Linked DNA regions of Nothobranchius furzeri. The protein of the gene in region 1 interacts with the protein of each later gene in a biochemical or structural test. Links are inferred from orthologs where the notes say so. Each region holds a gene or a part of one and is shown in the gene's direction. Other genes may lie near its edges.

Region 1 (4,206 bases):
TTTATAATAAAACCATAGATAAATGAGAATGCATGCGTGTAACTTATAAAAGTGTTGTAATTCAGGAAGGAAGTTAAAGTTGTGAAACGTGTCACTGGCACTTACTTTGCTGTCAGGATGGAAATATTCAGATTGTTGGCTTCAGCACGAATCTTCTCATGTGTTCAAAATGTTGCAAAAATAAAAACGTTGTATCGTACCTGCAAAATAAAAGCGAATGGAGGAAAAAAGAAAAATGCTTATTCTAATTTCTGAATAAATTTCAAAATAAATTGGTCTGATAATACATTTCAGAACATTATTATATGACTGTTTTTATGAAAATTGTAGCTGTGTTGGTAAAATATCTTAAATAAAGAGAATGTAGAGTTTTACTTCGTATTGTTTTAAAACTATTAAAGCTTTTTTAACATTTAAAGGGGAACTAGGCTGTTTTGGTTTGCTTTTAGTACCCCCTAGTGTTTGCTTGTAGAACAGAAAGCAAACGTATCTCCTCGCTGTGCGTTTGTCTTTTGAACGCCTTAATCTAACAGCTGAAATGCTGGAACCAGACTGCAGCACCAGGTATGTCAGCTCGATTTTTTCTAAGTCCCAACAAAACGGCCACCAGTCTAAATTTGCAAGTGGAACATTCTGACCACAGGGGGCGATAGAGGCTGGGTAGCCTTTAAGGGTCATTTGAGCACATACTGGCTCAAAAAATGATGTGAAAATATAAAAAAGTATCCCTTTAAACAGGATTTTGATGTTTTCAGCCTGTTTGTGCTCTTGTTTTAAACAATATTAAATGAAACTTCACCCATGACTTGATTCAATTCCAAGCATTTCCTTTTTCCACCACAGAAAAATGTGATTTATTTTTTAAAACTTTTTTGTGACCAACCAGTTACTGGCTTGAGCACACCAGTGGGTCATTTGTCTTTTCTGGGGAGTTTCCATAATCTGCTTGTGACTGTGCTGCTTTTATTTAATAGCTCCCATAACCAGCTTGCATTCATCATTCAAGCCTGACTCAGTCAAACGTGACCAAGTGACAAACCCTCTAAACATGTGTGAAAGTTTTGTACATTATTACCATTACAAACACAAACATTTCTAAATACAATCCAGGCATTGATTAGAAAATGTGCTAAATATCAAATCTGGAATATAGTGGTTGGGGTTTTAATGTCAAATTCAGTGAATAATTCCAGAATTATTTGTCAGGTGATTATGTTTCTTAGGTTTCTATTCCCTGTGTGAGTAGGGAGGAAACAGAACTGTGGTGTTTGGCCAGCCGAACAGGGAACTAGGAGGCGTTCCACAGGGAAGAGAAAGGAAAATGGAAAGGGGAGCAGTGAGTCAGCAGAGGGGTGGCAGCATGGGATGACAGCAGGTAGCTAAAACCTTACGGTTTGCTTGTGTCTTTAAGATTTAAGCTAAAATCAACTTTACTGGTGAGTTGACCAATTTTTTGAGTGTGTGATTTAATGTGTGAATGATATTTTTTATTTTGAAGCACTTTAATTTTCAGCTGAGATACGTGTCTTCTATTTCTCTTGTTTTGATCTGTGTGGAGCTTTATTCTAAGGCTTGATGCAGAACAGTTTATGCAAATCAAATATTGCTTAAAGGATTATCATGTAGAAAATCCATATTTGTATGTATAGCATAGATAGGCCTATATATTTGCTGAAAAAAGCAAATTCAGTGGACGGTGAATAAATTAATATACAAGCAATATCAAATATCATTGGCTGGATACAAACATTAAGCAAAACATCCATAAAACAAGGCACAAAAAACTTTCAGTCAAATTTTCTTTTGAAAATAACTGGGGGGGGGGGGGGGGGGGGGTTATAAAAATAAAAAATGAAAATGACCTAAGAAACTGAAATAATGGTAATTTTCTCTAAATGTTTTGAACAAACTGTAAATTTGATCCCGATAGGAACAAACGCAAACAACACAAACTAAATTTCTGTCATGAACTCAATCAAAGAGGTGAGTGGTATTTCTCTATTCAGGCCATTCAGATGTTAAATCATCTTTCTGTTCCTCCCATCACCATCAGAAGTCTGATAGCTGCAACAAAAGCACAGTAGCTGTCAGGCTGGTAGACCACTGTTACGACCGTTGGAGGGCTCTGCTTCAGTCTGTGGCAACAGTTTGTAAACCACCATGACCAAAAGGTGCTGAAAAGAGCGTGGGATTAAACATAAGCATTAGTAACTGTTTTACTCTCTACACCGTCTGGATGCTGCGGCTAATTTCTCCAAGTATTTGCAAATAAATATGATGCTTGAGTTTGATATAGTTGATTTGAAATGCCAAAATAAGTCATTTGAATTCACAATTTCTTTCTTTGTAACCCCACATGTGTAGTGTGGGTAGAATATATATGATTATTATTGCTGTTATTATTATTATTATTATATAATAGCTCACAGTCTTTCATCTTTTACATGTTTTACACAAAGGGTTATCTTAATAAAATTCACAACAGATATAAATAAATGCAGTTTTATCATAAAAAGTTACATTCATGTTTGAGATGTTTTTCCACATCTGCAATTTTATTATTTTTCAAGTCTTGTCAGTACATGTGGGTTGTGCATCAGTGGCATGTCTAGAATTTATTTTGGGGGGTGGCACATATTTAGATAAGGGTGGCAGTTGTAAACGGCTCATAACTTTGAAACAAAACTTCATATTTTTTTACTAAATTACTAAGCGTTGATCATGATCTAATTGGCTACTATAAACTAAAATAAAGCCAAAGCACAAACATGGTGCACTTTTATCAATAATTATCTGACACTTTTCCGTTAATGAATGCATACATTTATTATAATAACATTGGGACTTTCCCTGACATTGTAAAGTCAGAATTATTTTAGAAAAGAGAGGAGGACGCACTTTGGATTAAGTAGCCCTGCAAACAAATGTCACATGGATGTGCAGATCCTTAAGTCTGTTAGTCCAGACCACGTCTGCAGGACATCCAGACTAGGTCTTTGCACAGTAGGAGATATCATTTCCAGACTAGCGTTTTAGTGCATTTTTACTTTTTGTTTATTTGTAATTATTTAAATATTTTTCACCTAACAACATAAATAGATGAGCTTTAAAACATAGCATCAATGAAAAAATGTACCTCAACAAGAAACAGAATGGTTTGTTGTTTTGTTTGAACCCAATAGTCTCGTCATCTGAATTTCTGAAATACTTTGGAGCATTAACCAAGCTCAATTTAATGCAAAACATACTAAAACAGTAAACACCATGCCATCTCACCTTTGATTTGATATTGTTTATATGTTTTAGATTTTTATTTATTATATGCACTAGATGTTTTACTGTCTCAGTTTCTGGGGTGGCACCTGGGGTGGCCAGTCTTTTATGCAAGGGGGCCTGTCTGTGCCTCTCCCCCCTCGCCTCCCCCAGGCCCCCCTCTAGACACCCACCTGTTGTGCATCTGTGTTCAGAACAAAATTACAACAAAACAGGAGTTTAATAAGCATAAAACGCTGAATAAAAGAGAAGAGTGATACTGGGACTTGTGTGTTGCAGAAAGCCCATATTCATGTCAGGAGTCCAAACAACAGTCTGTTGTAAACACTTTAAAAATCTGCTTCTCACGTGTTTGTCTTTCGTATTCCTGACTTATTCGCTGAGGTTAGTCTTTTTCAGGGTTAATGATTTATTTCTAAGGCTGTTTCATGAAACAGAGTGACGCTCCTTTGTGCTCAGTAGGTGGGATATGCTTTTCAGTACTGAGTCAGTCAGAGAGGAGCCCCCTAGCGGCCGCGGGCCCCTACTGCACCAGGTTGTGACTGAGAGAGGGAGGAAAATGGGTGAACGGAAAGTCCCTGCGTGGAAATCCCCTTGACTTGGACTTTTTTTCTCAAAAAAAAAAAAAAAAAAAAACTAGCGTTAGCGGACGTGAGTGTCTGTTGTTTCGAAAAGCTTCGCGAGCTGCGAGAGCTCCAGAATAGATCTGATACAGAAGGAAAGAGGAGGTTGAATGGCGCCGAGAAGCGCTGCGCTGAGTGAAGTGGCTGAGAGAGGACTAGCCTGAGCATCCGGGAGGCTTTGTTACTACCTCCCGACATATTACACAGGTAAGACAACCGTCCTGCCTTCTACGTCTCCGTGTGGACAACATTCCCCGCCGAAGGCGGTCAGACTGAGTAGATACACCATGTTTGGGCCTGGAGTAACGTG
Region 2 (2,325 bases), on another chromosome or scaffold:
GACAGATATAAAGACTCCACAATAGATTTTCTGTTCGAGGGGACATCTGTTTACTCTTTAAAAGAGGAATTCTTTCAAATAAAAGTAGCTTCAATAAGAATCACTCATAGCAGCCATCGTGGTAGGTTTGATTTACTTGTAATCCAACAATGTGATTAAGAGAACCAAGTGAAAATTGTAAAACTTAGATGTACTGTTTCATTATCAGAACCATGTTTTCACTATTATTTAACCTTAAGCCTGATTTATACTCCTCTGCCTGCGTCAGTACGGAGATGCCATTATGCGTTGGCGCAAGGGGTGTCCCAACGGGCTCGCAGAGGGTGGCCCTATCCCAGTACTCGCAGGTTCACACTTACACCCTTCAATTGCGATCCCAGCCAGGGGTACGACTGCATAGGCTGTCAGAGTGCGGAAGTAGATTTTGCGCCCTTGATTAGCACTTCACCCAAGTCTGCATACATGTGGACTTGGGTGAAGTGTATTACCCACAACGCATTGCTGCGGAACAACATAGCTCAAGTGCCTTTTCTGAAAATATGTGTTTTCAAATGAAAGTAGTTCATATGAAATTTTATTGCCCTGTGACTGAATGAGTGCTAAGTTATGCAGCAAACGTTTTATCCGTGGACGGAAATGATGAGAAACTTGGGTTTAGAGGTGCCAATTGCATGAAGACGTGGATGAGAAATAGGGACAAATTAGTTCCCGTTAAAAAGTCTCTGAAATACATTAAAACAATATATTGTGGCATGATACCGCCAAAAATTGCTACACTTGCTGTTGTCCTGGCGGGATATTGCTTTGCAACATTCCTCAGGTGACAGAGAAGTCTGATGAGAAAACATATCGATCAATGCATGTACACAACTCCACACGAGCTAACGAGGAGTTTAAATCAGGCTTCAGTTGGGTTTCATATACTTGAGAAAGTTGTAGGCAAGAGGGATCTGGGCTTCAAAACACAGATCCTCTTCAACAAATATCTTATGTTTTTCAGAAAATCACGCTGTAAATGAGGCACACTTGGAACTGGTGAGGGCCAACATTGGGAGCAAATGGAAAATCTGTGCACGACGTCTGGGACTGTCTAATGTAGAAATAGACACCATAGATCATGACTACCACCGTGATGGCCTTGCAGAGTATGTCCACCAGATGCTGGAATCATGGAAAATGAAGACGGGATCTATTGGCTGTACGGTTGGGAAGCTTTGTCGCGCTCTAGACGGGATCATCGAGGTAGATGTCATCTTGAAAATGCTGGAATTGTGCAGTTGCTCTTCTTCCTTTGAAGCTCAGTAATGGGCACATTTTCAGAATTCACTTCAAACATCTGAAGCTCAGTTCAACTGACTTAAAAAAAACTCATGTATTTTTTTTTATTAATCAGATCTAATTTCTTGGGTACTGTCGATAATAAGGGCCTCCCTGTAACAGTAAAAAGTATTGATTTATTTCTTATTGTGATTTTCAACAAGCTGAAACTGCATTTTTATTTGATTTATTGACAGTTTTTCCTACAGCCTACACTGATGAGCGATCAGACACCATCGATTTGTCATGAAATTTCAAATTTTGCACTTATAATAGTCACTGTTAAGGATCATGATATGTTTTAGGTCGAATAATTATTTTCTTACTAAAGTTTTTATATAATCAAGGTGTTTGTCCCTTCAATTTTCTTCCTGAAAAGAGTCATAATGGAAAAGTCGCTCCATGTATTATGAAGGTTAGTTCACAAATATAAACCTACAAGTGGACCCATTAAGATTTCTGCAGAAAAATGGGGCAAAAACATAAAAAATGTATTTTATATCAGGAATTTTAATATATGTGTGAACCCTGTGGAGACAATGCTTTTTGGTCCATCTTGTATTTCAGGCTTGTTGCACATTTTATATATTCATGAATGTTATCTGTAAATTAAATTGTTTATGTACTTTTTTTACCTGCCCAGGTTTAAATGTTCAGTTTAGGACTGTAAAAATTGCATGTTTATTTGATAAGTTGCTGTTACTGTACCATATTAAGCATTTTGAATCACTGTTTTATCCCTAAGTGCTTTAAAGCTGTTTTATGCTATGCTTCTGTCCTCTGAAGCTTTTAAATTCACACTTGGTTTAGGGTACTTGCTCGTATTGTTCTGTAGTATATTTGCTTATGGAATTCCAAGCAAGTTCTCCCTCTATGATTTTACATACCACTGGGATTGTGACATTTACAATAAATTGTTTACATATTTTTAAAGTTGTTTGTGTTTGTTCTTCGTATCCATTTTTGCACAAAGCTTGAGTTTAATATGATGCAAACTGGCTGCATCTA
Region 3 (3,657 bases), on another chromosome or scaffold:
GTCCCAAAAACGATAAACGATATGTAGTTACTGTTTACAGCTTCGGTGTCTCCTTTCCTTCTAACTCTGATTTTAGTTGTGCTATCTCATTTTTCCTTTTCCCAGCTTCAGCTCTAATGTACCTCCATAGCAACAGGATCATCCATAGAGACCTGAAACCAGAAAACATTGTGCTGCAGCAGGGAGAGAAGAGGGTGAGTTACAGATCCACTGAAGACAAAGTGCACCAAAACCACAACTACAAGGCTCTTGGAACTTCTATTGTGCAAGAAATGATTGCATGTTGTACCCCAGCTTTAAAAAGAAAACAGGAAAATCTTGTATAACTGAGGCCAGACATTAAAGAGGTTATATTCATGTTTATGCAAAATCTTCTGAGTTTATAGAAACTGAGCCTGACCAGCTTAATCAGTTTAAGTTTATAGGTTTGCATTAAAATTTGTTTCTTCTTTTGCTTACAAAATACCTTAGTTTATGAGGTAAAATTAAATGTTTTAAGAAAAACTGATGAGGATCGACACCTCCAAATCTGAGACCATGGTTCTCGGCCGGAAAAGGGTGGCTTGCCAACTCCGGGTCGGGGGAGAGGTCCTACCTCAAGTGGAGGAGTTTAAGTATCTCGGGGTCTTGTTCACGAGTGAGGGTAGGAGGGATCGGGAGATCGACAGGCGGATTGGTTCGGCGTCTGCAGTGATGCGGATGCTGAGCCGATCTGTCGTGGTGAAGAGGGAGCTGAGCCAGAAAGCCAGGCTCTCGATTTACCGGTCGATCTACGTCCCAATCCTCACCTATGGTCATGAGCTTTGGGTAATGACCGAAAGAACGAGATCGCGGATACAAGCGGCCGAAATGAGTTTCCTCCGTAGGGTGGCCGGGCTCAGCCTTAGAGATAGGGTGAGGAGCTCGGACATTCGGGAGGGACTCGGAGTAGAACCGCTGCTCCTCCGGATCGAAAGGAGTCAGCTGAGGTGGTTTGGGCATCTGGTCAGGATGCCTCCTGGTCGCCTCCCCGGGGAGGTGCTTCGGGCATGTCCTGCCGGCAGGAGGCCCCCGGGTCGACCCAGGACACGTTGGAGAGGTTACATCTCCAATCTGGTCCGGGAACGCCTTGGGGTCCTGCCGGAGGAGCTGGTGGAGGTGGCCGGGGGGAGGACGGTCTGGAGCTCCCCAGTTGGGATGCTGCCCCCGCGACCCGGATAAGCGGAGGAAGACGACGACGAGGAAAAACTGATATTTTATGTATTTCATGGCGCATTCAGTTCAGCAGTTACCAACGTGTCAAGCGTTTTTGGGCTTTTTTCTTTTTTAGCTCATCCATAAGATCATAGACCTTGGCTATGCTAAAGAGTTGGACCAGAGCAGCCTTTGCACATCCTTTGTGGGAACTCTGCAATACTTAGTAAGTAGTACAAAGTAAAGGCTTGCACACCTGATTTCCTCCCCACTTTTCTAACGTCTAATATCTTTATTTCAGGCACCAGAGCTCATAGAAAGGCAGAAGTACGACGTCACCGTGGATTACTGGAGCTTTGGCACTTTAGTGTTTGAGTGTATTACGGGATTTCGTCCTTTCTTACCGACCTGGCAGCCTGTTCCCTGGTAAATTCTGTTCAAATGTAAATTCTGTTCAAGTTTTACACTTTAAAAAGTCACATGTACCCGTTCAGATGAGCTTTTTCCTCATGGATCCAGCAGCTTTTCATTCTATTACGTGAACATTAAGAGTACTTCCAAAAGTAATGAGAACGTTTACCTTTCCACTACCTTCTAACCTGTTACAGTCATAGTTTAGGAATCTGTACAATGATGTTTTCTTGTGTTCAGAATGGATGAACTTAAATAAAAGTAAATGTTTTTGTGTGATTGTTGGACTTGAGCTCGAGTTGGTTTAAAAAGCACAGGAGCAGCTAATGAATTGCAGGATATGTGAGGTGTGCCAACATCAGCGTTCTTTTCTTGTTCTTCGTAAAACGTGATGAATGATGTGAAGCGCTGGGGGCATTGAGTTATTTAGAGGAAAACTACTCCTTAGCCCTAGCAGGGACAAGTGAAAACATGAGAATGTGCTTGTCTCGTGGTCCATCTGTATCCTTCTAGGCACAACAAAGTCAGGCTGAAGCAGGACGATGATATTGTGGTTTACGAGTCTCTCGCTGGAGAAGTCTGCTTCTCCAAACATCTGCCTCAGCCCAACAATCTCAACAGGTGATTGTATACCCCGACAGCTGTCAAAAGGTTTATTCTCTAATGCAGATGTGGTTACTGTTGTCTGCCAGTCTGCTGCTAGAAAAGATGGAGAGTTGGTTGCAGCTGATGCTGAAGTGGTCTCCTAGGAAGAGAGGCAAGGAAGGCAACTCCTTCTCCCAGCTGGAGCTCATACTGCAGCTCAAGGTTAGCAAAGAACATGAGAGTTGTATGGTTGTTTATTTTATTTTATGTTTTCTGACTTGTCTCTTTCCTTTCAGCTGGTTCATGTCCTGAACATGATGTCGGCTAAAATCCTGACGTACAAGGTCGCAGAGGATGAAACTGTGGCCAGCCTGCAGCTGAGGATAGAAAAGGACACGAACATCCCTGCAGCCAATCAGGAGCTGCTGCTGGAGGCGGGGCTGGCGCTGGAGCCTCAGGCTCTGGCCACGCAGTGCGCCATCGATTACACAGTAAGGATATCGGACGTGCAAAGCATGTTTGTCATGATCACACGTTCCACTTCCGAATGAGAGCTGTAGCGTTTGTATCATCGGTCTGCAGGAGATAGATGGACGTCGTACAGATTTACCTCTGGTCTTCCTGTTCGACTGCTCCTCCTGCTCATACGAACCCCAGTTTGCTCCCCGGACTCTTCCTGAAAATATCCGCTTTGTCCGTAAGTACGAAGCCTGTGATGTCAGGAAAAGCCGTGCTCAGTAAATTTTATTTCATTTATTTTCGTGTCAGCTAGCATAAATGAAAAAAATGAGTGTAGAGGCTGAGAACTCCAAACTGACAGGTGTCATAATTAAATATAACAAATGAACTGACAGCTAGGAGACTTATTTTAACACTGTTAAAAGGCGTTCGTGCTAGATCTTTCTCTGAAAGAGTAGCAATGACCATCCTTTCTTTAAAGACGCTTCCGCAGCAGCTTTTCTCGGTTTTATTAACAAACATGGACAGTTTAGGCTGCCACCCCCGCGACCCGACCCCAGGTAAGCGGCTGAAAATGGATGAAGATTCAGACAAAAAGGCTTCATGTTGAGGTGAAGCGTGTCAACGTGAGACACACCCAGAGCACTTGATTAGTTATTGTGACCCATGTTGGCATTATCCAACAACCAATGGGTCAGCTCCTCCGGGTAAATCTTGAGGTGTTCCCTGGCCAGCCGAGAGACATGGTCCTTCCAGTGTGTCCTGGGTCTTCCTTTAGGTCTCCTTCCGGTTGGACGAGCCCGAAAAACCTCCCCAAGGAGGCGTCCAGGAGGCATCCTAACTAGATGCCTGAGCCACCTCAACTGGCTCCTCTCGGAGTGAAGGAGCAGTGGATTTACTCCGATCGCCTCCTGAATGACCGAGCTTCCCACCCTATCTCTAAGAGCCCAGCCACCCTGCAGAGAAAACTCGTTTTGGCTGCTTGCATCTGCGATCTCGTTCTGTCAGAACCCAAAGCTAGTGACCGTA

The links.
Region 2: of the proteins of tnfaip3 (region 1) and ripk1l, one has a biochemical effect on the other in vitro, tested with the Homo sapiens proteins (2 studies listed by BioGRID). The link is inferred for Nothobranchius furzeri from reciprocal best matches to the Homo sapiens genes TNFAIP3 and RIPK1.
Region 3: of the proteins of tnfaip3 (region 1) and ikbkb, one has a biochemical effect on the other in vitro, tested with the Homo sapiens proteins (2 studies listed by BioGRID and IntAct). The link is inferred for Nothobranchius furzeri from reciprocal best matches to the Homo sapiens genes TNFAIP3 and IKBKB.

The regions. Positions count from the first base shown.
Region 1 is NC_091752.1:25,134,865-25,139,070, reverse strand, and holds the start of tnfaip3 (tumor necrosis factor alpha-induced protein 3), read left to right. Parts: upstream 1-1,358; 5' UTR 1,359-1,436; intron 1,437-3,962; exon of another isoform or gene 3,963-4,103; intron 4,104-4,206. UniProt on the Homo sapiens protein: Ubiquitin-editing enzyme that contains both ubiquitin ligase and deubiquitinase activities.
Region 2 is NC_091751.1:51,510,911-51,513,235, forward strand, and holds the end of ripk1l (receptor-interacting serine/threonine-protein kinase 1), read left to right. Parts: intron 1-1,000; coding exon 1,001-1,305; 3' UTR 1,306-1,757; downstream 1,758-2,325. UniProt on the Homo sapiens protein: Serine-threonine kinase which is a key regulator of TNF-mediated apoptosis, necroptosis and inflammatory pathways.
Region 3 is NC_091757.1:55,651,180-55,654,836, reverse strand, and holds part of ikbkb (inhibitor of nuclear factor kappa-B kinase subunit beta), read left to right. Parts: intron 1-105; coding exon 106-194; intron 195-1,309; coding exon 1,310-1,399; intron 1,400-1,474; coding exon 1,475-1,599; intron 1,600-2,097; coding exon 2,098-2,205; intron 2,206-2,276; coding exon 2,277-2,391; intron 2,392-2,465; coding exon 2,466-2,660; intron 2,661-2,751; coding exon 2,752-2,866; intron 2,867-3,657.